Linked DNA regions of Tamandua tetradactyla. The protein of the gene in region 4 interacts with the protein of the main gene of each other region in a pairwise test. Links are inferred from orthologs where the notes say so. Each region holds a gene or a part of one and is shown on either strand. Other genes may lie near its edges.

Region 1 (7,656 bases), on a different chromosome or scaffold from region 4:
CAAATTCTCCTTAACCTGTGGGGCCACAACAGCAGGTGCCCTCATGAAGTGAACAGCATGGAAGCTGCAATCAGCTCCCAGTTCAGAGAGAACTTCTGCCCAGAAGCAGCACTTCGCACGGCCACCCTCTCAGCCATTCAGAAGCCAAGGCCCTGGTCCTCACCCTGCAGAGAGCTCCACAGCCATGCCCTGGGCACACACCAACACCCTAGCCTGCTGCCCGCCTCTGGTAGTCCCTTTCTGCCAGATTCCTGGGTACAGGGCAGGAGACTGTTCTCTCCCTAATCTCAAGTCCATTAAGGGAGTCTCCATCCTTACCAGGTGGTTGATCGAGACAGCCCTTGGGAGCCAAAGGCCAAGACACAATGCCCCAATCTGCGGCCTCGCTCCCTTCCAGTACCCAGAAGCACACCTATCCCACAGAAGTAGGCTTAGGGTTAGGGTTCCTGCAAGCCCTCACCCAGAGCCACCTCCCACCTGGCAAACCAGTGGCTCCAGGAAGATGGCCACTCCTCTCTATGACGAGAGGGGGCTGCCCCCTCCAGCGCCCCTCCCCTGGGCAGGAAAGGCCACCACTGTGTGGTGATTCTGCCTCTCCTCCCTTGCAGCCCCACAGCAAAGCATTCGAACCTTCCAGAACAAGAGTTCCTATACAGGTTGCGCATGAAAGCCACCTTACTTCCACTACCCTGAGCAGAATCCAGTGTCCCCCACACCTGGGAGCCTGGCAGCAGGCGCAGACCAGCAGTGCTGTGACCTGTTCATGGGTGCTTTGCTGTACATCCCTCAGTACAGCGCTTACACCTGACATCAGGGCAATGCACTTGAGTTATGAATGAGACACAACTTTTGTGGTTTTAAAAAAGTAAAAAATAATCCTGACAACTGTATCCAAACATCACCCGTCTTGCCATGTGATTCTAGGTCTTACCTTTTAGGTTTTAAAATATTACGAGCCGGAATTCATGAGGTTAACTGCCAATGGCCTACACAAGGCAAAGGCTGAGATTCGTTGCTCAACCAAGGAAGGGGCCAAGAAATGAGAGCTGGGGAGACAAGCTGGGGGACAGAACAGCAGTGATGCGACAGGAGGAAGTTGGGGGGAGACTCCATAGAGGCTTAATGAAGTGAACTAATCCCAGTTGTAGCTCTGAACTTCCACATAAGATCAGTTCTCCTGCAAACCTAGGTACTCTCTCCAAATAGCCCTGAGCTAGTTAAAGGAGAGGCAGAATATTTGGCAAACGTAAAAACCACAATTTTGAGTTTACACCAAAGGGACTGTTGGCCTACTTACATTTTAAAAAGTTCTTCTTCGTCTTCTTCCAGGGTTTTGATTTCTTGCTCGGGAAGACAAACAATAGGCTCAAACTGGGGGTCGTGGTTGGACTCGTCTGCATTCTCGGTGGAGGTGTCATGGTCCTCCTGAGTGTCCTGGGGAAGGACAGGCCAAGAGGTGACACTACTACCCACGAGGCAGGGCTGCAGGGCCTCGGAAAAGAGGGCGGACTCACCCCCAGGGAAGAAAGTAGCCCACAGCCTTTCACTGAGAATGGTTTGCACTTATGTGCACCTCCAGAGAATCACCAGGTGCGTGTGAATGTGAGACACTGGATATCACACCGCTCCCCCAACACACAAATTAGTCACATTTGCAGACAGACAGACTCCCAGGACGCAACCACCCACTTGTCGAGTGAGTGGCCCGGCAGACACCCTCTAGTCTCTTTGGGCCTCAGTTTCCAGATTCCTTGTCTGCCAAATGCAGATGATTCTGTTGTGTGGGCACAAAAGGATGTGATGCGTGAACCATGGGTTCGGGCTGTGGATTCCCCATGAAGCAAGCCAGAAACATATGTGCTCTTACTTACTTAGAAGAGGGCACTGGGAACAAATATACTTGGCATAACATTTCCTTTCTCCTCCTTTTGAAAGATAAAAAGTCTACTATGGAAGCGCCGTTATTTCACACGGAATACGCAGCTTTGCCAGCAATTTTATCGGGCTTTAAGGAATCACTACGCAACTAATAATCGTAAACTCTAGTTCAGGGCGTTGAGTCACAAAGCAGAAAATACCGTATTTTGGGTCCAAGTTTCATAAAACGTGTGCCTTAGTCATCTACCAATGCGCAAGACCCGCCGAGGCTTGGTGACGAGACTTGTGCCAGGAAGGAAAAGGTAACCCGCTTCGGGCCCCCTTTCCGGGGTCTGGAGGCACTGCGGCGGTCAGCACACCGCGCCGACACAGACAGCCAACAAAGCCGCCCCCGCCCAGGATCCGCAAGACCGGGGGCCCGTCCACCCCGCTGCAACGCGGGCCTCCACCACCATTGGCCCGCGGGGCATCAGGGCGCTAGGACGGAATGAATGGGGGGGCTGCGTGGGCGGCGGCGGCAAGGGATGCTTGGCCCCCGAGGGGACCCCGCCGCCCTGTGCGCGGCCCCGGAAGGCGGGGTCGGCGAATTCGAGACCGAGGAACTAGGGCGGCCGAGCCTCCCCGGAGCCGCCCCAAGGTCACGCGGGCGCCCCGCAACCCCCAACCCGCGCCCTAGGCCCCGCGTGCCCGCAGGCCGCGCTCCCCGCAGCCCTAAGCCCCCGCGTGCCCGCAGGCCGCGCTCCCTGCCGGCCGGCGGGGGTTGGCGACGCGGGGCCACCCACGTGGTTGCCGGTAGCGGTCCCGGCCCCTCGGTCCCACCCGCCCAGGCCCAGCCCCGCCGTACCTTGGCGGACGCCATGGGGGCGCGGCGGCGGCGGCGGCGGCGGCGGCGGCTCGGCTGGCTCGGTCGTGGCTGGCTCCGCGGCCTCTCGGCGGCTGGTCGGGGCTCCTTCCCTCCGCGTCTGGCGCCAGCACCTACCGCCCGCCCGCTCTTCCCTCCGCGCGGTGACCCGAACTCTGACCCCTGACCCCTGCGGCGGGAAACGCGCGGCGATTCAAAACCAGCGCAGCTTTATTGACCCAGGCGGCGGACGCTCTCATTGTCCCGCCCACCCCGGGCTTCCCGCGCACTCCCGGCGGCCCCCGCGCGCACTTCCGCCCCGCGGCCCGGAGCCACTCGCGTTGGCGAGGGAGGACGCGGTTCGGGTGCGGCGCGTGGCGATGACGTCGCCAGAAGCCGGGCCTCTAGAGAAGTGCGGCACGGAACCCCGCGCTGGCGGACGGGCGGGCTGCGTAGCCCGAGGTCAGAGCTCGGAGCAGAGCCCCGAGCTTCGAGTCCCGTCCCCGCTCTGCGGCGGCGCCTCCCGTGGGTCCCAGGACATGGCAACGGGAGGACAATGAGTGCCACGTCCGACCACGAAGCCAAGTCAAAGGAGGTCCGACCGGGGTGGGGGTGGGGCGCGGTGGAGGCATGGGGGTGACACGGAAGCGGGTCCGGGCGTGCAGCCGGGTGGGGTGGGGATGGGGGCCTGTTGGAGCCGGCGCTCTCGTTCCTAGCGCCTGCCGTGCCCACGCAGGGCCCCAAGCCCATGGAGGACTGCCTGCAGGATCGCAGCGAAGCGCAGGGCAGCCCCCCGCAGCCCGCGCAGGATGGGGAAGAGGCTGGAGCCCCGGCGGCTGCCAGCCCAGAGCCCGGGCTCTACGGCTACATCCGAGACGACCTGTTCACCTCGGAGATCTTCAAGCTGGAGCTGCAGAACGTGCCCCGCCACGCCAGCTTCAGCGACGTACGGCGCTTCCTGGGTCGCTTCGGGCTGCGACCCCACAAGACCAAGTTGTTCGGGCAGCCGCCCTGCGCCTTCGTGACCTTTCGCAACGCCTCGGAGCGGGACCGGGCCCTGAGTGTGCTGCATGGCGCCCTCTGGAAGGGCCGCCCGCTCAGCGTGCGCCTGGCCAGGCCCAAGGCCGACCCTATAGCCAGGAAGAAGCGGCAGGAGGGTGAGGGGTTGCTCCCGGCCACGTGCATCGCAGACGTGGTCACCCCACTTTGGACAGTGCCTTACGCGGAGCAGCTGGAGCAGAAGCGCAGAGAGTGTGAGCAGGTGCTGCAGAAGCTGGCCAAGTGAGTATGGATGTGTCCCCGTGGCCTACTCTGCCCTCGCCACCCCTCAGCGTGGAGACCACTGCAACCCAGAGTTAGGCAGTGAGGTCCGGAGGGAGGTGCGCAAGAGCTTGGGCATGTGGAGGGAAGGGCTGCACGGTGGCCCGAGTCCAACTGCGGCCGACCTGTCCTGCAGGGAAATCGGGAGTACCAACCGCGCCCTGCTGCCGTGGCTGCTTGCACAGAGGCACAAGCATAACAAGGCCTGCTGCCCGCTGGAGGGGGTCAGGCCGTCACCTCTGCAGGTTAGGTCTGGTTGATGCAGTCACAGCCTTCATCCCACTCTCTTACAACCTTCTCTTCTACTTTTTATCCCTTTCCTCGCTTGTGATGTGATTTAGCAGTTGTCAGTCTCATGCCAGGTGCCTTGTTACCCGCGATGCCCTGTTGGCGAGTGCTTGATGCTGAGTGGGGTCAGGCATGCCTTTCCCTGTCCCCCTTTCCTCGTGTAGACTGAGTATCGCAATAAGTGTGAGTTTCTGGTCGGCGTGGGAGTGGACGGAGAGGACAACACTGTCGGCTGCCGGCTTGGCAAGTACAAGGGCGGGACGTGTGCCGTGGCATCCCCTTTCGACACCATGCACATCCCTGAGGCTGCGAAACGGGTGGTGAAGGCTTTTCAGGAGTTTATCCGGTAAGAACATAGGTGCTTGGGAAGCAGGGACCTCCTGCGGGCCCTTGGGGTCCTGCCCTGGGGAGCTGGAGATCCCACTGTCTCTGAGAAGATGGGCAGCTGGTGAGTTGGGTGGCTGTGCCCCAATCCTGGGCAGGCAGGCGGCTTGGAACACTGCCAGCTCAGAGCCACCCTTGGCCTCCCCAGGTCCAGCCCATACTCAGCATACAACCCAGAGACATATACAGGCCACTGGAGGCAGCTCACTGTTCGCACCAGCCGCCGCAGCCAGGCCATGGCCATTGCCTACTTTCACCCCCAGGTACCAGTCAGGGGTCTCACGGGGGTGGAGAGGTGCTTCCTCAGCTCAGATGTGTTGGGGATGCCCCAGGCCAGTGCAGGCAGCATTCCCTGACGAGGCCTTATTCTGCAACCCCAGAAGCTGAGCCAAGAAGAGCTGGCAGAGCTGAAGGCCTCTCTCACCCAGCACTTCGTAGAAGGGCCGGGCAGGGCCAGTGGGGTGACCTGCCTGTACTTCGTGGAGGAGGGGCAGCGGTGAGTGGCCAGGGTGGGCCAGGGCGGGTACCTGCGTTGGTCGGCCAGGCTGATGGATCCATCCCCAACCTCTACAGAAAGACCCCCAGCCAGGGGGACCTGCCCCTGGAGCACGTGGCTGGGGACAAGTACATCCACGAGGACCTGCTGGGGCTCACTTTTCAGATCTCTCCTCATGCCTTCTTCCAGGTGCGCCTGGCATCTCCGTGGGTTTCAAGTGCCCATGGGAGGATGACGGGTGGGGTAGAGTGGGACAGGGTGGGGACAGGGCAGGCCCGGGCCACGGTCAAAGCTCTGGGGAGGTGCCTCCCAGCAGGCATTTATGAGGGCAGACTGCGTGAACTGCCAGAAATTGAGTCTTGGCAGCAGGGTGACAGCCTTCATGTTGCAGCAGCCCCCTCTGTCCTGGGAGGCGAGGGCAGCACACCTACCAAGGTGCCTCTGGGCACAGCACCAGGGAGGCCCTTGCAGTCTTGGGGCCAGGGTAACCCCTAAATCTCAGCCTTGCTGCTGCAGGGAAATGGGGGTAGGGGAAGGGGCAGGTGGTCTCTTGTTTTCACGGGGTGTCTGTTTACCTGGGGTTTTGTCTGAGCTGAAAAGCTGGCAGTGCCGTTTGCTGGGAGGGGAAGGCTGGTGTGCTGGCACATGAGTCCCCAAGGCCTGGGGGCCGGTGCTCAGAAAGTCAGCTGCTTCTACCTGGGAGGTAGATCAGGGAGTTTACTTGGTCTTTAAAGCCACAAGACCCGTGAGGTTAGTGCTTTTGTGTGGACAGAGGGCCCGTCCGAGAGGGCCTGGGCACTCACAAGTGGGGCGCTAGAGGTGGGGAGCTGGTGGGAGGCTCAGTGCTGCTGATGGCAAAGGATGGGTGCAGAAAGGTCATGAGGTCACAGTAGGAGGGGCTGTGCTGGGCGTCTGGGTGCTGCCGGGGGTGGGGTCCAAGGAGGGGTAGCCTCTGGGCAGCGTGTGTGACGTTTCCTGCCCACCGCTGCTCCAGGTGAACACGCCAGCAGCCGAGGTGCTCTACACTGTGGTCCAAGAGTGGGCCCAGCTGGACGCAGGCAGCACAGTGCTGGACGTGTGCTGTGGCACCGGCACCATAGGCCTGGCGCTGGCCCGGGTGAGCCCTGCTGTCCCCTTCCCGCCTGCCCGTGGACCCTGCCTGGGCCCCAGGGCCTTTTCTCACCCACCTGGCCCTGTGCAGGAAGCCTCCAGGTGGGGAGCTACTGGCCTGCTACTCTTCCTTTTCAGAAGGTGAAGAGGGTAATTGGGGTTGAGCTGTGCCAGGAGGCTGTGGAAGACGCCCGGGCAAATGCCCACATGAACGGTGAGGGCAGGTGGGCCCGGGAGGACGAGGTGATAGGTGCCCCCCAGCACAGCCTCTAGGGCCTCTGCTGGGGTCAAAGGGCACAGAACAGCTTCCCGTGATCCTAAGTGCACCCACCGTCCAGGGGGCAGGACAGCAGGAGGCCGGCAGGTCCTCACAGCTGCCACACTGTCCCCAGAGCTGAGCAACGTTGAGTTCCACTGCGGGAGAGCCGAGGACCTGGTGCCTGCCCTGGTGAGCAGACTGGCTGCCCAACAGCTCGTCGCTGTCCTGGACCCGCCCCGCGCTGGCCTGCGTGAGTACCCTCTCCTGGCCCCCTATCCACCTCACCTTGAGGTTGCTGCCCTCGGGGAGTGGGCCTCAGTGACTGGGCCCCCATCTGTCTGTGCTCAGACTCCAAGGTGCTCCTGGCTGTGCGCAGAGCTGAGAACCTGAGGCGGCTCCTCTACATCTCCTGCAACCCCCGGGCGGCCATGGGCAACTTTGTGGAGTGAGTAGGAAAGGGGGTGGTCGATCAGGGCTGGGCCCCAGGGCCTCCCATAGGAACCCTCGGCTGGCCTGACGCCCCGTCCACCCCCACCCCACAGCCTCTGCAGGGCCCCTTCCAACCGTGTGAAGGGGATGCCTTTCCGGCCGGTCAAGGCGGTGGCCGTGGACCTGTTTCCGCAAACCCCACACTGCGAAATGCTCATCCTGTTCGAGCGAGTGGAGCACCCTGATGGTGCAGGGGCCCTGCCCCCGCCAGGGCCCCTGGACACCTCCCAGGAGACTGGGGCCCCCACATCTTCCTAGGCCTCTGAGGCCAACTCTGGGACCACTGGAAGCTGGACTTGAGAACAGCACTGGCCTGGCGTGCTGGGGCTCTCCACGGGCCCTGCCTACACCCCTGCTCATGCAGAGGACAGCCTTGGCTGCATAGGCCACGGGACCCCCGGCCGGAAGGGCAGAGCGGGCACCAGCAGCCTCCCACTCCCCTCAGCCCCATGAGCTGGGCCTCAATAAACCGCTGCTGAACTAAGGACAATTCTCTGGTGATCAGTGCCATGGTATACCAGGGCCACTCCATGGGCACAGTGTGAAGTTCTGGCTCCTGCTGGCCCCAGGCCCAGCTGAGAGCCCGCCTAG
Region 2 (7,705 bases), about 1.5 Mb from region 4:
ATTCCTGGGAGTCATCTCCCCTGCTGCCAGGGAGACTTTCACTCCTGGACGTCATGCCCCATGTAGCGGGGAGGGCAATGATTTCACTTGCAGAGTTGGGCTTAGAGAGTGTGCAACCACATTTGAGCAACAAAAGAGGTCAGAAGTAACTCTTAGGCATACCTATAAGGAGGCTAGGCTTCTCTGCTACCTACAACAGCTTAACAAGAGTAAGCTTCAAGATCAAGGGGTTGGCCTATTGATTTGGGTGTCCCTAAAGTTTGACACATTATCTGGAGCTTCCCTGGTGGTAGAGTTTAATAGTTCTGTATTTTTAATTCCATCCCTCAAGGGATTCTGCCAATACTTTTTGATTATCTGCTTAATATATTCTAGGATGTACCCACGCATTACATTAAACTACACAGGATTAAAGACCCTCATTCTTCTTCTGGGCTGCCTGTGTTTTGATTGTTGAAATGAGCTATCCTGACAGGTTGAGTTAGATTATGTGCTACAGAAAATTTAGGTTCTGGACAAAACAAACCTTTCTTCCGTTGGTCTCAAAGAGCAGGTACTGTTCTAAAATACAGACAAAGTCTTCCTTCCAATGTTCTGAATTACCTTAATCCTGACCTGATCGGCTTCATTAACATCAGATTATACATATATAAAACCACCTCTCAAAATCCAGAAATACCACCCCCATCTTTTTTTAGCTCATGGTATAGCTGTATCACATTGCTCCTCAACCTTTGTCCCTACCCTCCTCCTCCAGGGAACATCTGGCAAATACTTGGAGACAATTTCGGTTGTCAAACTGGGGGTTTGGGGGTTGTTACCGGCATCTAGTGAGTAGAGGTCAGGAGTGCTACTAAATATTCTATGATACACAGGTTAGCTTCCCACAGCAGAGTTATCTGACACGAAATCCCAATAGTGCTGAGACTGAGACATCTTTCTGTTTAATAATTAAGTCAACCAGATCCCCTATTGATGGGCATTTAGGTTGTTCCTAATCTTTTGATATATAAATGCTGTTGCAATGACAGTGGTTTAAACTGAAGTTCTTAGCAGCGGGAGACATAATCTACTTTATGTAGTTTAAGCAAAAAGAGATTATGATAGGTGGAGAGATTATTACAGATGGTTGCCAAATTTCTGGGAGGGTCAAGGAGTCAAGCTTGGACATTTCCCAACCAGTATTACAAACCAGGTTAAGAGTCCAGCAACAGCATAGGACTTTTCTAGTGGAAATTCCAGGGCTGTTGCTTCATGCATTTGGCTTCTGTGATACTAAGGATGTTATAACTTCCACCAGAGCTATCCCTGAAGAATCAAAGGTCTCAGCCACTCTACTGGTCAGAATCTGAACTTCCCATTTGCGGCTGCTGCCTCAAATCTTGTGAGGTGCATTTGCTTGACAAAACTGGGTTGGAGATGACCCAAAGTATGGGCCTGGAACTCAGGAAAGTCAGGATTGGACATACACATTTGGGGGATGAACGCATGACATGAATGAAATCACATTCCAGATCACATTTTAGTCTACAGCCAGAGTTTTTAACCTCTAGAGTTAACTCCAGAAAGCTTCTGAAGATAGCATTCAGCAGTTCCAAACTTGAATGAGAAAATATTGTCCTTATTTTCACTTACCTTTAACTGCCATTTAACATTTTTTTTTCCCAATCTGATGACTAGGGGAACAAATCACAGCAGGATTAGCAGTACTAGGGTGTTCACCACGTACAGAAATCTCATAAATTTTCAGATCACATCACAGACGTTACAGATAATATTAAAATATTTTTTACATTCCAATGTACTTCAAAATTACAATTATTAGACTTGCCAGTAGATTGTTACATTTAATGCATTAGTATATTACAAAGATATTTTAAAACAATATTTTGACTACTACTTCCATTTAATGTTTTCTTTGCATTCTTACGTAGGGAGTCTCCTTGATATTACAAGTGGTGAATTACAAGCGCGTGCCCCAGCTAAAGGTGGTGGCTTCTTCTTCAACTTGACCCTTGTCCTATGAGAATGTGGGACCAGGACGGTCAGAACCTCCAATTTTCAAGAAAAAGCCAGAAGTTTGGATTTTGATGTAACATTTTTCTATTTCAGTGTTGGCAACTACTTAAAAAAATTAAAATACAAGAGGATAAAAAGAAAAGAAAAAATATACATAACAGGATATCCTAAAGTAGGCTAAATTAGATGTCAGGCTGCAGTTTGGGCCTTGCATTTTGAGGGAGAAGTTAAGAAGGCTGAAGACAGAGCCTCTGGTGAGCAGAGAAAGAGAATGCAGGAGGACAAGACAGAGAATCAACAGTGGGAGAGGTGGGAGGGCTGGGAGCAGGGGTGTCCATTAAGTAGAGGTCCCCATGTTACATGCTCAGGTGAAACTCACTGAAAGAGTTAAGTCTGGTGACATGGACCCTGTACGGAGACTTTCAGGGGCCCCAATTTGATCCTGCCACCCCCCATTATTCTGCCCATGAATACCCTTCCCCATCCATACCTTTGTCTCTGACACTCCTGCCAGATGCACCCTTTCTTCTCTTCATGGTTGGTGAATTACTTATCCTGCAAGGCCTAGCTTCAATGTTACCAAATTATCTCTACCTTTCTGTCTACCTGGTACATGACTTGCTCTCTCAGCAGAGTTTCTGGAGTCCCTCATTCCATGTTAGAGTACTTACCACATTTCTTTTAGGTTCACTTTGCGGTCTGTGTCTCATTTCACCCCTGGTCATAAAAGTCCTACGGTTTAGGGACTGGATCTTCTTTTATCCTCTCTTTGGGTCTGACCCCTGGCTTGCACATGCTATGCAGTGTTCAAGCAATGTTTGCCCAAGCAGGAACTCTGAGTCAGACTGACCCATTTGGGCTACTTTCTGAGTAGCCCTGGCAGGGCGTTCAACATTTTGTGCCTAGCTCCTCATCTGTAAAATGCAATTCTCACACCGACCTCCACCTCGTAGGTTTATTGTGAAGAATAAGATTAAACAAATTATACTCAAAGCACTCAGAACAGTGCCTAATACTTAGAAAGCCTTTTGAAGTGTTAGCTGTTATAAAAATATATATACAAATATGCAGAATACATGAATATTATCATTGTTAAATGTTAGCTTCATTATTAAATGTTAGATTCAGGGTGGGCCACGGAGGTTCAGCAGGTAAGAGTGCTTGTCTGCCATACCTGAGGACCCGGGTTTGATTCCCAGCGCCTGTCCATGAAAAAAAAAAAAAGTTAGATTCATCTGTTTTGTACACTAATATATCCCTAGAGCTTGTTATAAATACTGAATAAATGAATGAAACGAATGAGTGACACACTTCCCTTTGCCTTCACTCCGGAGCCACATTCCCTTCCTATGGGGTGGGGTGTTCAAGGGCTAACAGATCACTAATCAGGCCTGGGGCACAGCCCTCACTGTTTCTCTTGGAAAACGCCTACTTTCTACCCAGAAATTTCTAGAACCCAGGCCAAAGGTAAGTTGCGAAGGAAACTGCCTGGCACGCATACCCAGGAGTAACGTCTTCTATTTTATTCAATAGTTTCAAATTGCCTTTTCCAGGCAAGGCTGATTAAAGTACAAGTTTCAAGTTAATTTTTTTGCCCTTGCTTTCATGGTGAGTGAACAGGCTTCCCAACCCTCCAGAGCGTTCTTGTAACCATCTAAAGGAGTGTTTTGCAGTTACACAGACTTGGGTTCGAATCACGACTTGTTGATCCTTAGGTGTACTTTCATCATTGATTGTATCTGGCAGGAGTCACACTTTTCTTATCTATCAGAAAATGGAGATACCTTCCCTTTCTTCCCAACACTGTGATGGGAAAACAACTTTTTGCGCATTTTGAAGCCACTTAAGCGTTATACAAAATGGCTGTTATTACTGGGATCTCCAAATTGATTCTGTGGTGGGCCTTCAAGAAAATAAAAAGTAGCTCCGTATCAGTCAAGGGCAGAGGCCGGGAACTCCTGATGTAGAATCTGCGAGTGCAATGTCACCGGAAGGGCTGGGGGCAACAGGATGAGAACTCAACGCCGGACTAGATTATGACCAAAGGGTCTGGCAAACATCATCTATGCTTTGTTTCAGGTCAAACGTCACAATTCACAAGCCCTCACAGGGGTGACCAAAAGGTATCCCTGAAAGAGGATGAAGTGAAAACCGAGAGGCCGGGAGGGAAAGGGTCCGTGGGTGTTACTGGGGGAGGATCGTTAGAATCAGTGAGAGTGCGAGAGCGCAGGGGAGGCGGGTGGCCGGAGGGACGGTGCGTCGGGAGAAGCGAAAATGCAGCTGCAAGAAGGAGCTCGCTATCCTAAGTGAAAGTGCGGCCCAGTGAAATGGGCAAGGCAGAATTTCGGTTCCTGCCGGGCCACTCCCGACTGTACTTCCGCTCTCAGACGCCTCGGGCTCCTCGCCCCGCCCCCAGCGGGGGGCCTCAGGCTGTACCATTTTGGCCTTTTAGGGGTGAAACTGAATAATCGGCTAGGCCTCCCGAGGGAATCTGTGGTAGCCACCAGAAAAATAAGATTGTGTATTATGAGTTGCACATTTATGACCAATCTTCTCCCTCTTCGTCTGCTCGGATCCCATATATTTCCTGGAGCTTGGTAGGCGCCCCATCGTGCTTCCCCCTTTCTTTTTCCACATTTGGTACATTCCCCTGCGGTACGTAGGCGGGGAGGCGTACATAAACCTCGACGAAGAAGGCGGGGCCGCTCAGTTCTCGAGGCGTCGGTGCTCTGTAGTGTTGGAATTGTGTTGCTTGTCGGGCCGTTTGCGCGTGCGCGGACATGGCCTCAAACGGTAGGTAAGGGCGCGTGGCGGGGGTGGCATGCTAGCCTGGGAGTTCGTTCCTTTCTTGCTGGGCCTTAGTTTTTTTCTGGGACCGGGATGGCGATCGCGTGTGGTGGGGTCGTCTCTACGGACCATTCCGGCGGGAAGCAGCTGAAAGGGTGGAAGGTGAGGGCTGATGTCGCCATTTTGTTTCTCTTCCCTGGCGCTTCTCGCGCAGGGCAGGAGATATTTCCTAACATTTCTTTACTTGAGGTGGGGAATGGAAGGGGACGTTTCTCTGCGTTTTGGAGCGTGAGCCAAGGTGGAAGTGCTTAGTCTCCATAGCCTTCCTTCCTTTCCCTCGCTCCCAGCCTCGCATTTGGGCCCGCTTTGTCGCAGTACTGCATCCGGGTACTCCGCGCGCGCACGCGCTCTTCTGGCCCCTCCCCTTCCTCGCGGCGCGTACTCCTGCCCGCCTCGTGCTGGCCCCGTTTTTTGTCGCGAGACCCTCCGCGGGAGACCCCGCAGTGCGCGTCCGGTGTGGGCTTTGCCCTCCCAGGCCCCTGGGGAGGGGGTGGAACCGCCCAGTTCCCGCCTGGGTTGCCACGCGGCCGGGGGCGGAGGCTCGGCGCTTAGGCCGCGCGCCCGCTTAACGGTCTGTGGGAGGGGGCAGCATGGGGGCTTGACCAACGGACTACGGAATCTGGCCCGACATTTTTCCCGCCTAAATTCCTTTTCTCTGAGATGGGGATGGAAAGGAACATCCGCCCCTAGCCACACCTCTTTCTTCCTTTCTCAGCGAGGGAAGCACCTCATTTCCTGTCCTAAGCAGTTGAGTCGATTTGGATACTGTACCTTTACTGTGGCGTTTTAAAAGCGCTCTCACTAGCTTGGGTTCGCCGAATTTTTTCTGCAGCTCCCTGGAAAGCAGAGTAGATGAGAAAACGGACGCCATTGGGCGCCTCAGGCCTGAGTCTTGCCTTTTGAGCAAGCTTCTCGAAGGCCGATCTCTCTCTCATTTGGTATCAAAGGGGATCGCTTTTGTTTTCTTGACTGCGCTAAAACCCCAATTTTGCCATTCTCAATGATTGGCCAGAGGGCGAAAATGGTCTCTATTGAACACGTTCTTGTTCTTTGGATCTCAGTTGAGAGAATGGAGGTTGCTTCCTCGGGCTTGAATTCAAACCTGCCCCAGGTAGCTCTGTGACCCTTGGCAGGTTATCATATCTTGAGTTGTGGGTAGTTGTGAAAATGAATTTTGTATGTAAAATGTTTTAGTGCAGTTTCTGAACTGAATTAAGTTTGCAGAAAATTGTAACTTGATCCTGGAATTTTTTCTTGCGTAGTGGATTAAGACTCCTTGGTCTTCGCATAAACACACTTTTTTGGCATGACCATCTTTCTTTGATGATCATCTACCAGCTTACCTTTCCTTCCTTCCAACTAATGTCTTATAGGGGAAAATTTATGGCCTTTTTTGCACCATAGTTTTTGCTCATTTTCTTGATTTGGAGGCCCCAAGTGCTGGAGTTAAGGGAATTTAGGGCTCTGTCACACTCTCAGGGAAGACTGGCTGAAGGTAATGTGAATCTTTTTTTTTTTTTTTGCAGACTATACTCAACAAGCAACGCAAAGGTGAGTGTCAATTCTGGACAGTTCGTTGAGGGCAGGGTGGCAGAGGTGTATTTTTCTCATTGTATTTGTTTTTGCTTTGTTTTGCACCCAGCTACGGGGCCTACCCCACCCAGCCTGGGCAGGGCTACTCCCAGCAGAGCAGTCAACCCTATGGACAGCAGAGTTATGGTGGTTATGGCCAGTCGGCAGACACTTCAGGATATGGCCAAAGCAGCTATGGTGGTTCTTATGGGCAGACCCAGAACAGTGAGTCTTTTAGTGGGTCACCTCACCTGTCCCTGCTCTTTCTGAATGTTGCCTTTCTTTTAAATCGCAGTAGTGCTAAAATGTTAGTGCCATTTGTTCCATGTTTCTTTTCTCTTATCCGGTCTATAACTTATAACTTCTTAGAAACTTTTGAAAGTAAAAACTTTTGTTTTAAACAAAAATGCTTAATGTTGCTTTGTAATTCTATGCATTCCTTTTTCTTCGACTGTTTTTTCTATTTATGTTGTACTTTTTCCCATTTTCAGCATGAAAGTAAAATAAGAGGGGAGTGTGTCACCTAAAGAAAAACAATTTTAGGTTTGGTACTTAATAGGGAGGAAATGGCTTGCTTGAAGGTGTTTTAAGTTAGGCTCTCAAACTTCATGTGATACGGTAGGAGTTGAAATTTGCCCTGGGGCCTTTAAGCATATAACTTTCGTTGCTCATACATTAAAATGCTGTTACTAAGTAGGATTCGTGTGGGCTTAAATTAGATCATGATCCTGAAGACTGGGTTTTGGGAGGCTGAGATATACTGTCCTAAGGAGTTGGTACCTTAGCCTTAGAGTAGAAGAGAAGGGTAACTTGTATTAGGAAGAACGAAGTGGCTTTTTTCCAACCTCTTCTTTGCCCATTCCTCTCATAGCATTTGTGGCTCCCTTTTTCTTTGCCTTGTAGCAGGTTATGGCACCCAGTCAACTCCCCAGGGATATGGCTCAACTGGTGGCTATGGCAGTGGACAGAGTTCCCAATCGTCTTATGGGCAGCAGTCCTCCTACCCCGGCTATGGGCAGCAGCCAGCTCCCAGCAGCACTTCTGGAAGGTAAGGAGGGGTTGGGGGAAGACCTGGAAGATTGGGGCTGAATTGGTAAGGAGTGATAATGAAACAATTAAAAGAAATGGGAAGTGCTAAAAGTGAAGGAAAGTTTTGGGTATTATGACATTTTCGTTTTGGTTTTTTCCTTTCCTTTAGCTATGGCGGCAGTTCTCAGAGCAGCAGTTATGGACAGCCCCCGAGTGGGGGCTATGGGCAACAGTCCAG
Region 3 (7,304 bases), on a different chromosome or scaffold from region 4:
ATAGGTGTGTGTCCGTGTGCTCCTGCAGCGAATACCTTCCCTGTCGCCTGAGGCAGGGCCTCCTCACACCCAGACAGGAACTAGAGCTCAAGGAAAATGCCTGTGGAGCTCAAGCGATGCAAACGTGTGCCTGGACATGAATGGGTGCAGGAAAGAGGAAGGCTGCGGACACAGGTGGGGCACCTGCCCAGAGAGCCCAGGAGGACTGGGCCCTGGCAGGGGCAGAGTTCTCTGAGTGCACACACACCACCCCTCAGTCCCTTACCTAGACTTGCAACAGGCACCCCAGGCCTTGGCATCAGTTTGGGGTAGGCCTACAACATCAAAGGATGGGTCCTCCACCAGCCTCTGCCAGGTGGGAGCTTCCCGGGGCAGCCAGACCTGTATGGGACAGCTGAGCCAGGCCCTCTGGCACAGCTCCCTGGGAAGATGGGTGGACAGGGCAGGCAGGCCCGGGCGCACAGGGCATGGGAGCGGGGGGTGGGGGTGGGGCACTTACACAATCCCGCCCGGGCTCAGCAGGGAGGGAGAGCTGAAAGGCCCCTGGCAGTTCCCCAGGCCCTTATGCCTGAAAGGAAAACACAGTGGAAAACTCCTGGGTCTCTGATGGGAGGGAAGGCGGGATTTCTTGAGGCCTTCTTAACTCAGGTTGCCTCCCAGACTGTCATTCTTCTGAGGCCAGAGCAGGCACTGAGCAGGCCAGGCATCGAATCACAGGCTTCCAGAAACTCAGCTAGGTCGGTGCCCTCATTTCCCACTGAATATGGGAAAAATTTGCTGAAGAGGCTGTTCCCCTGCCCAGGGTCCTGCAGATACTATAAAACCAAGCTGTACAGGTGGCAGCTGAAAAATGGGACCCTCAAAATCCCAACTGCTTTTTCTGTTAACTTGTAAATTTCCCAGTCACCCTTTCAGGAAGGCACTATGCTGGTTGTATCCATTTCTTTAGAAGTGAGGAAGTAACTTATCCAATTCCACATAGCTAACATGTGGCAGGACTGGGATTTGAATTCAGGCACTTTCACCAGGATTTATATTCTTCCTGGTCACACGGAACGAAGCAGAGTTGGAGATCACCAATTAGGAACAGGCTGCAAAGGGCTCAGAAGCAGGGATTGCAAATTTAAATGCCTCCAGGGCCAGGCAGGTGAAATAAATGAGTGACTCAGACTGGGTCATAGGCTGTAAACAAAACTGGCCTGGAGGCCATTTGGGGCCCCAGTTTAGAGGCACTCCAAGCTAAGCCCTGGGTTGGACAGGAAATGCGGCCTGCCAGGGACACCCAGCTTGTCTTGGAGCTGCCTGGCCTTCTCTGTAGCATCAAAGAGCAGGAGACGCATCAATGAGTGGAAGTGACAGGGGACAGGAAGACCAGCCCAGTTCACAGACAGCAAGGAAGCCTGGAAGTTGCCTTGGCTGGAGGAATGAAGGGCTTCACAGCCTAAGTAACTTCACCACTTATAAGCACTCAGATACAATCCCCCTACAGCCAGGAAAACGCCAGAGGGAGCCCTACACTCCAGCACACACCAACCCAGATTCTTTCAGACTAGGATTTTAGTCCCAGCCCAGGCACTGACTCACTTGGTCACTCCAAGTCCCTTGCTGGAGTCCCTTGGTCTGCTTTTCTTGATTTGTGAGAAGGAGGGTGACATCCCACTAGAGATTGGAACTATAAACTGGCTAATATTCAATGGGCTTTGACCTACAAAAACATCATTTTCAGATGATTCAACCTCATAATTTCCCTACACACCTTTTAAGTAAGAAAATAAATGAGAAGGCTTGCAGCAGGAACCAAAAGCTTCCTGCCTTGTACACAGTAGGGGTTCAGTTAGTGCTTGAACAACGTAAATTGGCCTTGCTAAACGGTCCCCTCAGCCCTTCCCGGAGTTCCCCAACCTCCATGAAAGCCAAAATCCAAGGCGGTCATAACTATTTTCCAGCTGTGGACACAGAGGTGACTGCCCAAGGCCACCATGCAGCCCGGAAGTCTGGATACGTCTAGAGTTGGCCCGGGCCAAGCGCTCCCTGCCTCCGGGTTTTGTGGATTTAACAACTTCCTCGAGGGTAACCAGAGTTTAAGGGACGCGCCGCAGGTAGACGGCGCTCTCGTGATGGGTTTACCCTGCCACGTCATCTGAGGATGTGGCCCAAAGGCGGGGGTCGGCGGCGGGAAGGGCCCGAACAAAGAGTTGGGACGCGTGGTCCTCAGGGACTCCATTGTGAGAGTCCCTAAAACTGGCGCGGTCCCAGCCCGAAGAAAATCCCAACTCCACCTTCCGCTCTTGGGGCGCTCTGGGGCAGGGCGGCGACCCGGGGGACGCCCCCTTCCACCGCTGCCGCGCGCCGGGAACTTGATGGCGACCGCCGGGCAGCAGGAGCTGGCACGGCGCCCCCGCCCTGCCCAGCACCTGCCTCATGTTTCTCCCGACCAAAGGACAGGGGTCCGGGCTTCTCCCCCAAAACCAAATTGTTCGGGAAAGCCCCAGAGGCCAGCGGACAGACTGGCAGATGTGCGCGGGGATACGGGCTTGACGCGTGCGGGGCGAGGGGCGCGTGAGGACGACAGGTTGGGGGGTGCCCCGGCACCCCGCCCTCGTCCACAGTGGCCGGGGGCCCGGGGGAGGCAGCCCGGTGAGTCTCTGGGAAGCTCGGCCTCACCAGGAGAATAGGGCCAGCTCGACTTCGACCTAAGAGAACCGAGAAGAGAAACTGAGCCTCTCCTCGCCCCTGGCCTCAAACTGCTGGACTTCGCATTCGTCCGCACTCCAAGATCCCATATTCCGGGTTTTCCCCCATTCCCAGATCGGCAGCCCCAAGAGACAGACAGTAAACCCGGCCAATAGCAGCACGCAAAGCGTCAACTTTGTGTTCGCCCGCCACTCTGGGCCAGTGTGCGCTCATTTTTCCGGAGTCCCGCCTTCCGTGTCGGGCGCCCCCTTCTGGCACCGCAAGGCCGAACCTTATCTGTCGCCATCTTGTGTGTGGCACAGGTATTTTTCTGGAGTATTTTCTCACTCTGGTTTTTCCTTCCACCCAGCAGATTTCTTAGTTCGACAGCCAAGTGCAAGTGCGGTGGCGATAAAGAGGATGCAGCCTACAGTTTTCGAATACTCGGTGTGGGTTGGCGTGCCACATCACGCCACGCCTGCCGAGTCCAACGCCATCTTGAGCGTGGCTTCTTGATGGCTCCCTTCACGGGGCTCCGCGTGGTTGCTATGTGGCCCCAAATTTCAAGGCGCCCCTAAAGACTAGCGTAGGTGACCTAAGGGACGAGTATTTCCCCCGATAACCACGTAATGGGGAGGTTCACGTGCCCCACGCAACCCTGAGGCAGAGTGGGAGACGAATAGACTCGATGTCCGGGTGGGGCCCTGGAAGGAGGTTGCCCCGAGCTGTCGCGACGACAGGGACCACTCAGGACAGGCGCTAGAGCCTTGGGGTGTAGGGGACTCTTTTCGGCGCGAGGCCCGCGGGCTGTCCCGGTCGAGGGGTGACGTCTGTCCCGGCCCCTGATCCTACCCTCGAATCCACTCGAAGCACGAGTCCCCGAGTGTGTATGCTTGGCAAGGTGCCCGTTCGTCGGCCACTACAGGTGGCGGGCGCGGGGCTGACGGTGGGCAATAATTGAATCACCTCCCCACGAAGTCCCAACGCCCGGGCCTCGGGAGCGGGTGGGGGTGCGTGGTGGGGAAGGGCGGGGCGGACCAGGGGCGCGGGTCTCGCCCTAAGCCTTCGCCGCACGTCGTGGAGCTGCCGCCCATTTGCTCGGGGACAGTTCTTAGTGGAAGGTGCCCCGGCGCTGGGGTGGCATCTCCATGGGGACTGCGCAGGACACTACCCCGGGCGAGCGCAGCCCAGCACCCGGGCCCTCCCTTCCCCCTCGTAAGCTGCCGTCGTGCACGCCCGCCGCCCCCCCTCCCCCTCCTCTTCCCTCCCCCTCCTTCCGAGCAGTCGCGGGGGCGGGGGGCTGGGCCGGCAGCTTTGCCGCGCTTCGGCTTTCTGCGTCAGCAGCCCCAGCAAAACAGCCGCGGGAGCGCGCGTCCCTAGCGCGCCCGCGCGCCCTTCCCCCGCGAGCCTGGCGCCGCTGAGGCCCGGCAAACTCAAGCCTTGAATGACAGTGCGGCCCGCGACTGCGCAACGTAGGCCGCGCGGAGGCACTGCCGCTTTAAGCCCGCTTGCCCATTGTTCGGCATCGAGCCAATCAGAGAGCGCCCGCTCCCTGCGTCCAGCCAATAGCGCCCAGGTAAGGGAGGCTGAGCGCCGCCCACTAATCTATATTAAAGGTTCTGGCGCCGCGTGAGTTCCCCACTGGCTGCTCGGAAAAGCCATCTTTGCATTGTTCCCGGTCCGGCTCCTGCTCCCCGCAGCCGCCTCCGCCGCCGCGCGCCACCGCCGCGGACCCCGGCAGGTTTATAGCTAGAGTCCCCGAACTCTCGCTTTCTTCTTAATCCGTTGCTTCTGATCACCGGCGTGCCCCATCATGTCAGACGCGGCCGTGGATACCAGCTCCGAAATCACCACCAAGGTGAGGCTGGATGCCGCCCGCCCCCTCGGGGTCCGCGCGCGGCGCCGGATGGGTGTTTGGCGCGCGGCGGCTGGACAGCCCCAAGTCTGCTGTTCTGTCGGGCGGAGAACCCGTCGCTCCCGGCCGGGTTCCTGCAGGCAACCCAGTCTTTGTGTGTGCGGGGGAGGGGTCGGGAAACGCCGCGGGCATCCGTGGTGCCCGTCGGAGAGCGTTCCGGGCGCCCTCGGGAAGCTGGGGAGATGGGCGCGGAGGCGGCGAGCTCGGGCAGGCCTGCCTTAACGGCTCGCGAAACTTGTTTGTCATTCGTCTGAGTGGCGGCGGGAAGAGAGGCCGGGCTGGGGTCGTCGGCCCGCGGGGCGCACGGAAATAACTTTGAAACTCGAGCGCGTTGGGAATCGGAAGTGCTGGGGGGCGCGCGTGCCGGCGCGGGCGGGCTGCGGGAAGTGGCGGCTTCTCCGCGGGCGCCCGCCGGCGGCGCTGCTCTTTGTTCGGCGCCGGGCAGCCCGTTTCGCGCCCTGCGGCGGGCCCGAGGCGGGTTATCTGGTGCTCCGGCGCCGAGACGTCAATTGTCCCCTCGGAGGTATGAAGGTCTCTCGGCCTCCGAGCCCTCGGGGGAGGCGGGAGTGGGCGCCCTCCAGGGGGAGTGCGCAGGGAGCGGCCGCCTAGCTTCAGTAATCCACCGGCGGCACTGGGTTTGGCTGAGGAGGGTATAAACCCACGCGCCTGAAGGGGGGGAAGCCGAAATTGAAGGAGCCGCGCGCCGGGGCTACCATGGACGCCCCCCGCGGCTGCTCCGGGGGCGACGGAACCTAACAAAAGCTGCGACCGCGGCAGGCCAGTGGCTGGGCCGAACGGTGCCGGTGGAGGAGGGGTTCCCGGGGTCCGCCGTTGCGGGTCCAGGGCCCTCGGTTTTGAGCTGTTATCTGGTGCCGCTCAGTTCCTGCTCCCGCTGACGCGGGCGGAAGGTCGGGCCGCGCCGCCGCGTCGGTGCCGCTGTTTGTACCGGCAGCGTTTCCACCTTCGGCGGTGCGCTGCGTTTGAGACCGGCTGGCTTTTTTACCTTTCGGTCCTGGTTTGCGCCCCCCTTGCCCCGCACCCCCCACGCACGGAGCGGTGGGAGTCACCTTGGCGTCTCCTTAACCCTTCTGCTCCTGTAGACATCTCCCGTCGTCTCCCAAGGCCGCCTCCCCTGGCGTAGCGGAACTGACGGCCCGGTTCCTGGCAGGGCACTCGCGGGCCGGTTCTGGATCCAGCCCGGGAACCAATTCATAGGGAGGGTCGGAGCCACTCAGTACGCGGCTTTTGCGTCCACTTTCTTCCAGGGGAATTTCCCGCGGGAGGCAATAAATATCCGGGTGGGATGCGTTCCGACGGCCTTGGGAGCGGGGCTGAGAGAAGTCCCGAGGGACTTTGCCCGCCAAATGCGGAGACGCAGGCCCACGCTTCAGAGGCTGCTGAGGGGAGACCGCAGAGGGCGTCGGGCAGTCGGGAAGGGCTGGCGCGCTGCCCGCGGCCTCGGCAGGGCAAGCGCAACTCCGGGTCTCCAGGGCAGCCAGGGGCGCACTTGGCGGCCCGGGGCCACGTGCTCCGCGCGCGCGGTGCGTGCCGAGGCCAGCGCGCAAAGCCCGCCGGGCGGGGAGAGCGCGCCTGCGCGTCGCAACCTCCCCGCCCCCACCCGCTCCCCGGGGTTTCGGCCGCCAGGGGGCGGGAGCGGGCGGTGCCAGGGGGCCGCGGCAGCCCCTCCGCCCTGGGAACCGGCCCGGCGGGTGCCCCGGGACCTCTTGCTGGACGGCGGACGACTCGGCCGCGCTGGTGGAAAAAGTTACGCGGTTCAGGGCACCGGTGGCGTCACTGCTCTTTGGAGCTCGGGCCGTGTCGGCTCTCCTGATGTCCTGCGGAGGGTGAGAAAGTGGGAGGGGAATGTGGGGCTCACGCCAGCGGCGTTAGAGGCCGGCTCCTGGTCCGGCCGGTGCACGGCTGGGCAAGGTAGGGGGAGGCCTCGGACCTGGAGAGCCTGCTCCTGTTTCCCGGCAGTGGTCGGCGGACTTCATAGCGTTTGGGGTCTTCCCGATACCCTGCTCTCCAGATCCCGGTTACCCAGGGCTTGGAGCTCACCCGAGTTGCTAAGAAGCGGGAGGCCAGTGGCAGCCCCTATCCTTCCAAGCCCTTCTCTCCTAGTCTACGCAGGGGGGTTTTCCCCATGCTGTTGGGGCTCTTCCTTCACTGCCTTATTTATTTATGGCACGTACCTGTTACTTTCCAAGAAGGATTTGTGAGAGGTGGAGCTCTCCGTGGTTGGAGACAAGTCTGTGGTGGGCGTGAGTGAGAGTGAAGTGTCTGTGGGCTCGTCTGCCCGGCCAGACAGGTTTGGGGCTGTGGTTGCCACATGGCTCCTGTTGTAAGAAGCAAGGGGTGAGGGAGGAATGGAACAGCCTCAGGGGCTTCTGGCTTTCAGTGCTCCTTCCATAAGTGAGAGATCGGCAGGCTGGAGCCTGGACGTGCTTCGTAGCTCCTGAGATTGGCTTGTTCCTCCTTCCACTGGCTCCACGTGGCCTCTTGGCACTTTGGTCCAATAAATCAGCCTTACTGTAGTCCTCAGGCCCGGATTTTTTGTTTTGTTTTGTTTTTTGTCGCGGGGTAGCTCAAAGGACTTGTTATCTTTTCCTTTTTGAAGGACTTAAAGGAGAAAAAGGAAGTTGTGGAGGAGGCAGAGAACGGAAGAGAGGCACCTGCTAATGGGAACGCTGTGAGTGTCCACCTGCTTAGGAGCCCT
Region 4 (6,007 bases):
GGCTGCTAGCACCGAGTGAGACTCGTCCTTCCCAGCTGGTCTCCGGGAACCCAGTCCCAGCAGCTCCCCGGACAAGGAGACCTACCTCTTGCAGACAGACTAAAACTCCTTGAACCTGAGCTCTGAATCTTTTAGTGTCTTAAATCTCAGTTTTCTCTACCTTGTAGATAGCACCCATAAATAGCATGTCCTTCAAAAGTGGTTGTTCTCGAGCACAACATAAACAAAAGATTGTTATTCAGTGAACCTGTGGGAAGCGGGAGGGGTGTGTTTCCTGGGCAGCATTGCAGAGAAACAGGAAATTCCCTGCACCCAATCAGAAACCACAAAAGGTACCCACCAAAACACAGCTGGCAGGAGCGGGCCATATAAAAACAGGAATACGCCCAAATCCACACACCAAATATGGACCCACAAAAAGTGCTCTCTCATCAGTTCATGCAAATGCTGACCGAGGCAGGCAGAGACGTGTCCCAACAAAAACGCGCAGAGGGGAGGATAAAACCACACAAGCTGTAGCTGCCGTACTTGATCTCTTTATTGTCGCCTCTGCCCTGGGGGAGCTCTGGTTTCTCCAGCGTCTTTCCCTTTTGGGGGGCCCCTCCCTGACTCTGCCTGTCCATTCCCTGTCTTTTGCTCCCATTTTGCCATTTTTGGGGGGTCTGGGGTGCCCCCTTGGTGGCCCTGAGAGCTTTGGTTAGGTGGGTGAGTTCTGGGGGTGGGGAGGGGGACAAGCCGGCCTGGGTCCTGCCCCCAGGCCCTAATTCCTCCGTGGTCTGGTCTCCGTAGTTCTGTCTCCGTTGCTGGTGTTGTGGGGTCCGTGCTCTGGTTTCACCTGGGGTGGGGGAGGGACGGGAAAGCACGTGGTAAAAGGGCCCGAGACTCAGGTTCTAATTCTGTCTTCCTTGCTCATTTGCTCTGTTGACTCCAGACACCTGCCCAGCTGTCTCTGGGCTTTCATTTCTCTAGTTGTAAACCAAATTTCCCTCCAATTGGAAAGGTTCTGTTTCCCTTTTCGTTCTGGCCGCTAGGAAATTCAGAGCCAAAGGTGTGTCTCCTCTTCCCGTGAGAGCCCAGGAGCGCTGCAGACCCCTCCTCCCCCAGGCCGGGACCAGGCGCCTGCTGGCTGCCTCTGGGAGGCAGAAGGAACCCCGCTGACTCCTCACCTCCAGCTCGGCCTCAGGGTCGGGCCCCTCGCTTTTTCCGCTCTGCATTCTGGAGCTTGGTCACCAGTTTCCTCTCGTGCCCGCCGGGGCTGGGGCGGTTGGTGTTGGCGGCCGCTTCCCTCTTGGTGCGTCCTTTCCGACCTCCCCCTCCTGGAAACCAAGGCAGGAGTCAGAGGCGAGGGGGGCTGAGGCAGCTGTGGGGTCTCAGGGGAGAGTGGGGACCCACTGAGTCCCCACTTTGTGGGGTGGGGGGCAGGTGCTCGGGCTGGATACAGAAGACGGGGGGCTGGTCACCACGAGCTGGGGACAGTCCCAGGCCCCTGTCAGCTTGTTTCCCTATCTTGGGAAACGTGGGGTGCTTGGCGGCTCTGTGGTTGCTCCAGTATTCTGTGTTGTGAGGCCCTGGAGTCCAGTGTATGGGGGATCAGGAGGGGGTGACTTGGGGGCCCCAGGCTGACCTGAGGGTCAAGGGATTAGGTTGGGTGGACAAGGGCAAGGGGTGGGGAGAAGCCCAAGGAGGGGACCTAGTTCAAGGAGGTCAGACCGTTTGCAGGGGGCCAGGGATGGAAGTGGAGGGGCAGGAAGATGGCGGGGCCGGGCCTTACCCAGGTGGAAGTGGCTCAGGCCGTAGAGGTCGTGCTCATCCAGGTGAGCCTCGTCCTCCTCAGGCCCCAGCGGCTGCTGGGATGGGCTGGCTGCTGGCGGGAAGGTGGCCGTCATGGCCTCTGACCCTCACCGTCCCTGTCTCCTCTCTCGTCCTCTTCTAGAGCTCTGTTTGTCTGTGTCTGGTTCCCCTCCCAGGCGCCTCTCCCCTCCCCGTTTATAAGGCCGTGTCTCTGCCTCAGCCTTGTCTGGCTGCCATCCCTCGGGCCCTGGCTGATGCAATCTGGCCCTTTCCCAGAACCTGGCCCAGTAAACACAAGTCACGAGAGTTGGGTCCGTAAGCCCTGGCCCCCCCCACCCTCTCCTCCACCGGGGCTCGCCCAGCTGGGTGTTTTTCCACAGAGGAGATCCCCGCCCCTCGGGGAGGAGGGGAAAGGGGGCAGGGTCTGGGCACAGACAGTCCTTGGAATCAGGGCCAGGGGGGCATGAGGGTCTCTCCCGTGCTGCCTCCTTCCTGTCTGCCGCCCCCTCTCTGCCCCTGTGCCCCTCCTGGCCTGGGGTCCGTGACCACATAGCTCACTCCACCCCTTTCCCCCCCATTCTGGCTTAGATTCAGGGCCTGAATAGCAGCACATGGAGTGGGGGTTATATCCAGATGCGCCCTTCCCAGTTCAATCCCACTTCCTTTGTGTTCCTACTGTGTGCTGGGTTCATGCCCCCAACCCCTTTTTTACTAGAAGTTCCTTAGGGCACTAGGTAAGTGCCCTCACCTGACAGTATGGCTTACAGATGGTTAAGTGTGCAGATCTTGGAGCCAGATGCCCTGGGTTCAAACTCCTGTTCCAATTCCACTACTTCCTGTGTGACCTTGGATAAGTCACTCAAACGCTCTGGGGCTGTTTCTCCTCTATAAATTGAGGTTGATAAAGAATTCTATCTACCACAAAAGTTGGTGTGCAGATTAAATGAACATATGGGAAGGAATTTAGAACAGTGCCTGGTGCAGTATGGAGGACTATATAAGGGTTAGTCACATAATTTCAAAACTAAAATCAACATAATACTCTAACTAGAACTCAAAGGAGAAAAAAAGGAAATTTATAATAAGATAATACGTATTCCAAAATATGGATATGACTGAGGTAGATATTGGTGTCTACTTATTATTAATTACATGAACTTAAGGAAAGAGTTTGGATAAGAAACATGTGAAAATAGAATATTCCACTCTTGCCTGAAAGTTCTGTATCTTGCTGACCCAGAGAAGGTGCAGCCTCAGTTGCCCACTCAGGTTTCCCCTGAGGCTGGTATACCAACTCCCAGCACCTGTCATCCAGGGGCAGGGAACTGGATGGACAGGAAATTCCATTTACTCCTTTTTAATTAAAAAAAAACAAAACCTCTGCAATCTCCAGTGAAACAGCCCTTCTCAGCCCAGGCCAGATGCTAGCCTGTGCACACACACCCACTTTGCTTTGAGCCTATCAAAAACCCTGTTCCATTTCAGTGTTAACCTAAACTGCCTCCTTCCCCTAAATCCTGTAATAACCCAGCCTCCTCCTCTGTTTAACAAGCAGCAACACTTCTGCTTGTGTTTCTCCCTTGCCTGAGCCAGAATTAAATTTAGCTCGTTTCCCAGATTTGGGTGATCTGTGAGTTTTTTAACACACGGGAAACGAAACTGCGGACGGGAGGACACAAGGGGAAAAAAACAGGGTTGGGATGACCATAAGGTCCCAGATGACAGGAAGAGGGAACTAACCCTAGTAAAGACAACACAAGCTAACGAGCCTTGATGTGGAGAAAATGAGAAAACGAGGTGTTCTTGCCAAGGGACGGGCTTTATCACTAGGTGTGGTAGCAGAACCCTCCCCTGTAACATGGAGTTAGGCTCTGCGTTTGGGAAATTACCAGCCTGTGTCTGCGTTTCACCTTCCTGAATGTCTAGCAGGGCAGGGCACCCCAGTGCGCTGTGGGGACTCTCCTGCTTGGCCCAGCCCTTTGAGCCTCTTGGACCCCACTTGCTAGAAGCTAGCGTGGTCTCCTGTCCCCGCGACAACCATGCCAACATGGTCAGTCGAGCAGGTGACACTGGCCCTGGTGAGGAGCGGGTCCACCAGGCCTGGCCGGATTCTGCCTGTGAGATCTCAGGCCCCCGTCTGCGTCCGTTCCCTCGCCTGGGATGTGACGAAAACAACAGCACCCACCGTGGGTGCCTTAGCCCTGAGCCAGGCACCAGCACTGCTATTACCCCCACTCTGCGAAGAAGGGAGACCCGGGCTCAGGGTGTGGGCTGCTCAGGGCTGCAGGGCTGGTGAGCGGGGAGTGGGGGTGGGGCCTCCTCGCAGTCTACCTGCCCCCCGCCCCCCCCCAGCGCTCTCTGGGGGTTGGCACTGCTGGACAAACGCTGGCAAAGCCCTGGCCCGCTGTGTGTGTGGAGGCACCTGGCAGGATCCCTTCCCTCCTCCACAAGCTGTCATTAAAGCCGGCCTTGGGCCAGGTCCTGTGCTGAGGGGCGGCCATGCCCTCCGGAAGCTCGGTGGGGTGGGGAGGTGGCCTCCAGCCCAGCAGGGCACACCCCTGTGGAAAACACCACACAGAGCCCCTGTGTGGGGCTCTATAAAGGTAGTCTTTATTCCATTAACCTGACTTGATGTGACTTTCGTCACAGCCTTCCGTGATTGCTGACTGAAGGTATCCTTTTTGTTTACTTCTCCATTATTTGTTTCCACTAGAATGCAACTGCTGGGTTTAGGTTAGTTAGCAGCTGAAGGAGTAGGCTCTGGAGCCGGAATCTCTGGGTCTAAAGCTTGGTTCTGCCACTTGTCAGTAGTGTTGCCTTAGACAAAGTTATTTGGTCTTTCTGTAACTCAGTTTCCTCATTTGTCAAAAGGGATCCATAATGGTATCTACCTCGTGGGGTTGGCTGTGAGGTTTAAAGACTAATTCTTAACAAAGGCTTACCACACGCCTAAGACATAGTAGACATTCAATAAATGTTAGCTACTGTTATCATTATTCATTAGAATAGGAATCTTGTCTGTCTTATAATGCATTATCGATGGCTGGCAAAGAGTCAGTGTCAGCTGAATACATGAAGTTATGCTGAGATCAGTATTGCTTGTTCAACTTTCAGATGCTCTGCTCTGCAGGAACTGCGAGGCCCAACCCTAGTCCCACAGAGCCCATGAAGACATTGTGACTGTCCTCCGTGGAGCCTGGGACTTGGCCCTGACCTTGCAGGTGCTGGAGGAGAGAACAGACTCTAGCATGGGAGTGGTTGGAGGAAGGGCAGCCAAGTGAGAAGGGAATCCATTCAAGACGGACCCTGTGGGGCCTAAGAGTGACTCAGTGGGAAAAGTCAAGATGTGTGTTTTCCCAGCCTCTCGCCTCCAGGTGTATATATAATTAGCTACCAGGAAGTTTATTTTTCTCTGCTTGTGACTGTACCTTTATGACATTCCATGTGGTTGCCAAGCACACCTATTATATAACCCATACTGGATTATAATATACTGAGCAAAAACACAGGGGGCTGGGAGAATTCCCTGGATGGATGTGGGGGGTGTGAAATCAGGGCAGACATCCTAGAGGTGGTGAAGCTTGAACAAGAATGGTGATTTGTGGGAAAGACTGCAAGAAATGCCCAACTCCAGGAGTTATACCACCCAAATCAAGAAAGTTGGATGGCCTGGCGGTATGTGGAAGTCACTAGCTCAGAGGATGTGAAGCTTCCCAGGCCAAAGGCAGGGTGTGCCATCAAGGTGGGTCAGTGCCACTGCTGTACACCAAGGGAATGTTTAAATAAGGTGAAACAGGATGTATCTGTCTGCCCTTCGGTCCTGGTCAGAGATGCCCTCAAACCCGGAAGCTGTGTTGGAATTTTTCTTAGTATGGTATCATCATTTTAAAAATAAATGGATGCAATCTTCCAATGGGCAGTATTGCTAAGAATGGTAAATGTACTACTGACTCCTTGATATTGGAGCCTGACTTCCAGGAGTCTTTTACAGAAAGACTTCCAGGTGAAATAAAGATGCAGGTACAAGGATGTTGACTGTAGCCTTGTTTGCAGTGGTGAAAAGCAGGAAGCAAAGTGTCCCAGTGGGGGACTCATCAGCCTCCTTCTGTGAAATACTCTGTAGCCATTAAAAATAAGCTCTCTCTCTAGCTCTGATGAGAAAGGGGTCCACAATACATTGTTAGGTTAAAAAAAAAGCCAGTTGTAGATATGCATG

What was found.
Region 1: the proteins of NUPR1 (region 4) and RANBP1 interact in a two-hybrid assay, tested with the Homo sapiens proteins (2 studies listed by BioGRID and IntAct). The link is inferred for Tamandua tetradactyla from reciprocal best matches to the Homo sapiens genes NUPR1 and RANBP1.
Region 2: the proteins of NUPR1 (region 4) and FUS interact in a two-hybrid assay, tested with the Homo sapiens proteins (2 studies listed by BioGRID and IntAct). The link is inferred for Tamandua tetradactyla from reciprocal best matches to the Homo sapiens genes NUPR1 and FUS.
Region 3: the proteins of NUPR1 (region 4) and PTMA interact in binary tests that used the Homo sapiens proteins (3 or more experiments, as listed by UniProt). The link is inferred for Tamandua tetradactyla from reciprocal best matches to the Homo sapiens genes NUPR1 and PTMA.

What each region holds. Positions count from the first base shown.
Region 1 is NC_135331.1:28,486,222-28,493,877, reverse strand, and holds the start of RANBP1 (ran-specific GTPase-activating protein), read right to left. Parts: upstream 3,007-7,656; 5' UTR 2,738-3,006; coding exon 2,723-2,737; intron 1,435-2,722; coding exon 1,298-1,434; intron 1-1,297. Other genes in the region: TRMT2A (tRNA (uracil-5-)-methyltransferase homolog A), read left to right, coding at 3,276-3,314, 3,456-4,000, 4,176-4,284, 4,492-4,673, 4,860-4,974, 5,092-5,207, 5,285-5,396, 6,202-6,324 and 4 more. UniProt on the Homo sapiens protein: Plays a role in RAN-dependent nucleocytoplasmic transport. Alleviates the TNPO1-dependent inhibition of RAN GTPase activity and mediates the dissociation of RAN from proteins involved in transport into the nucleus.
Region 2 is NC_135349.1:23,364,100-23,371,804, reverse strand, and holds the start of FUS (RNA-binding protein FUS), read left to right. Parts: upstream 1-4,687; 5' UTR 4,688-4,799; coding exon 4,800-4,812; intron 4,813-6,392; coding exon 6,393-6,417; intron 6,418-6,508; coding exon 6,509-6,663; intron 6,664-7,341; coding exon 7,342-7,486; intron 7,487-7,636; coding exon 7,637-7,705. UniProt on the Homo sapiens protein: DNA/RNA-binding protein that plays a role in various cellular processes such as transcription regulation, RNA splicing, RNA transport, DNA repair and damage response. Binds to ssRNA containing the consensus sequence 5'-AGGUAA-3'.
Region 3 is NC_135329.1:207,652,538-207,659,841, forward strand, and holds the start of PTMA (prothymosin alpha), read left to right. Parts: upstream 1-4,298; 5' UTR 4,299-4,486; coding exon 4,487-4,531; intron 4,532-7,205; coding exon 7,206-7,277; intron 7,278-7,304.
Region 4 is NC_135349.1:24,816,988-24,822,994, reverse strand, and holds NUPR1 (nuclear protein 1), read right to left. Parts: upstream 1,992-6,007; 5' UTR 1,887-1,991; coding exon 1,772-1,886; intron 1,317-1,771; coding exon 1,180-1,316; 3' UTR 1,167-1,179; intron 836-1,166; 3' UTR 517-835; downstream 1-516. UniProt on the Homo sapiens protein: Transcription regulator that converts stress signals into a program of gene expression that empowers cells with resistance to the stress induced by a change in their microenvironment.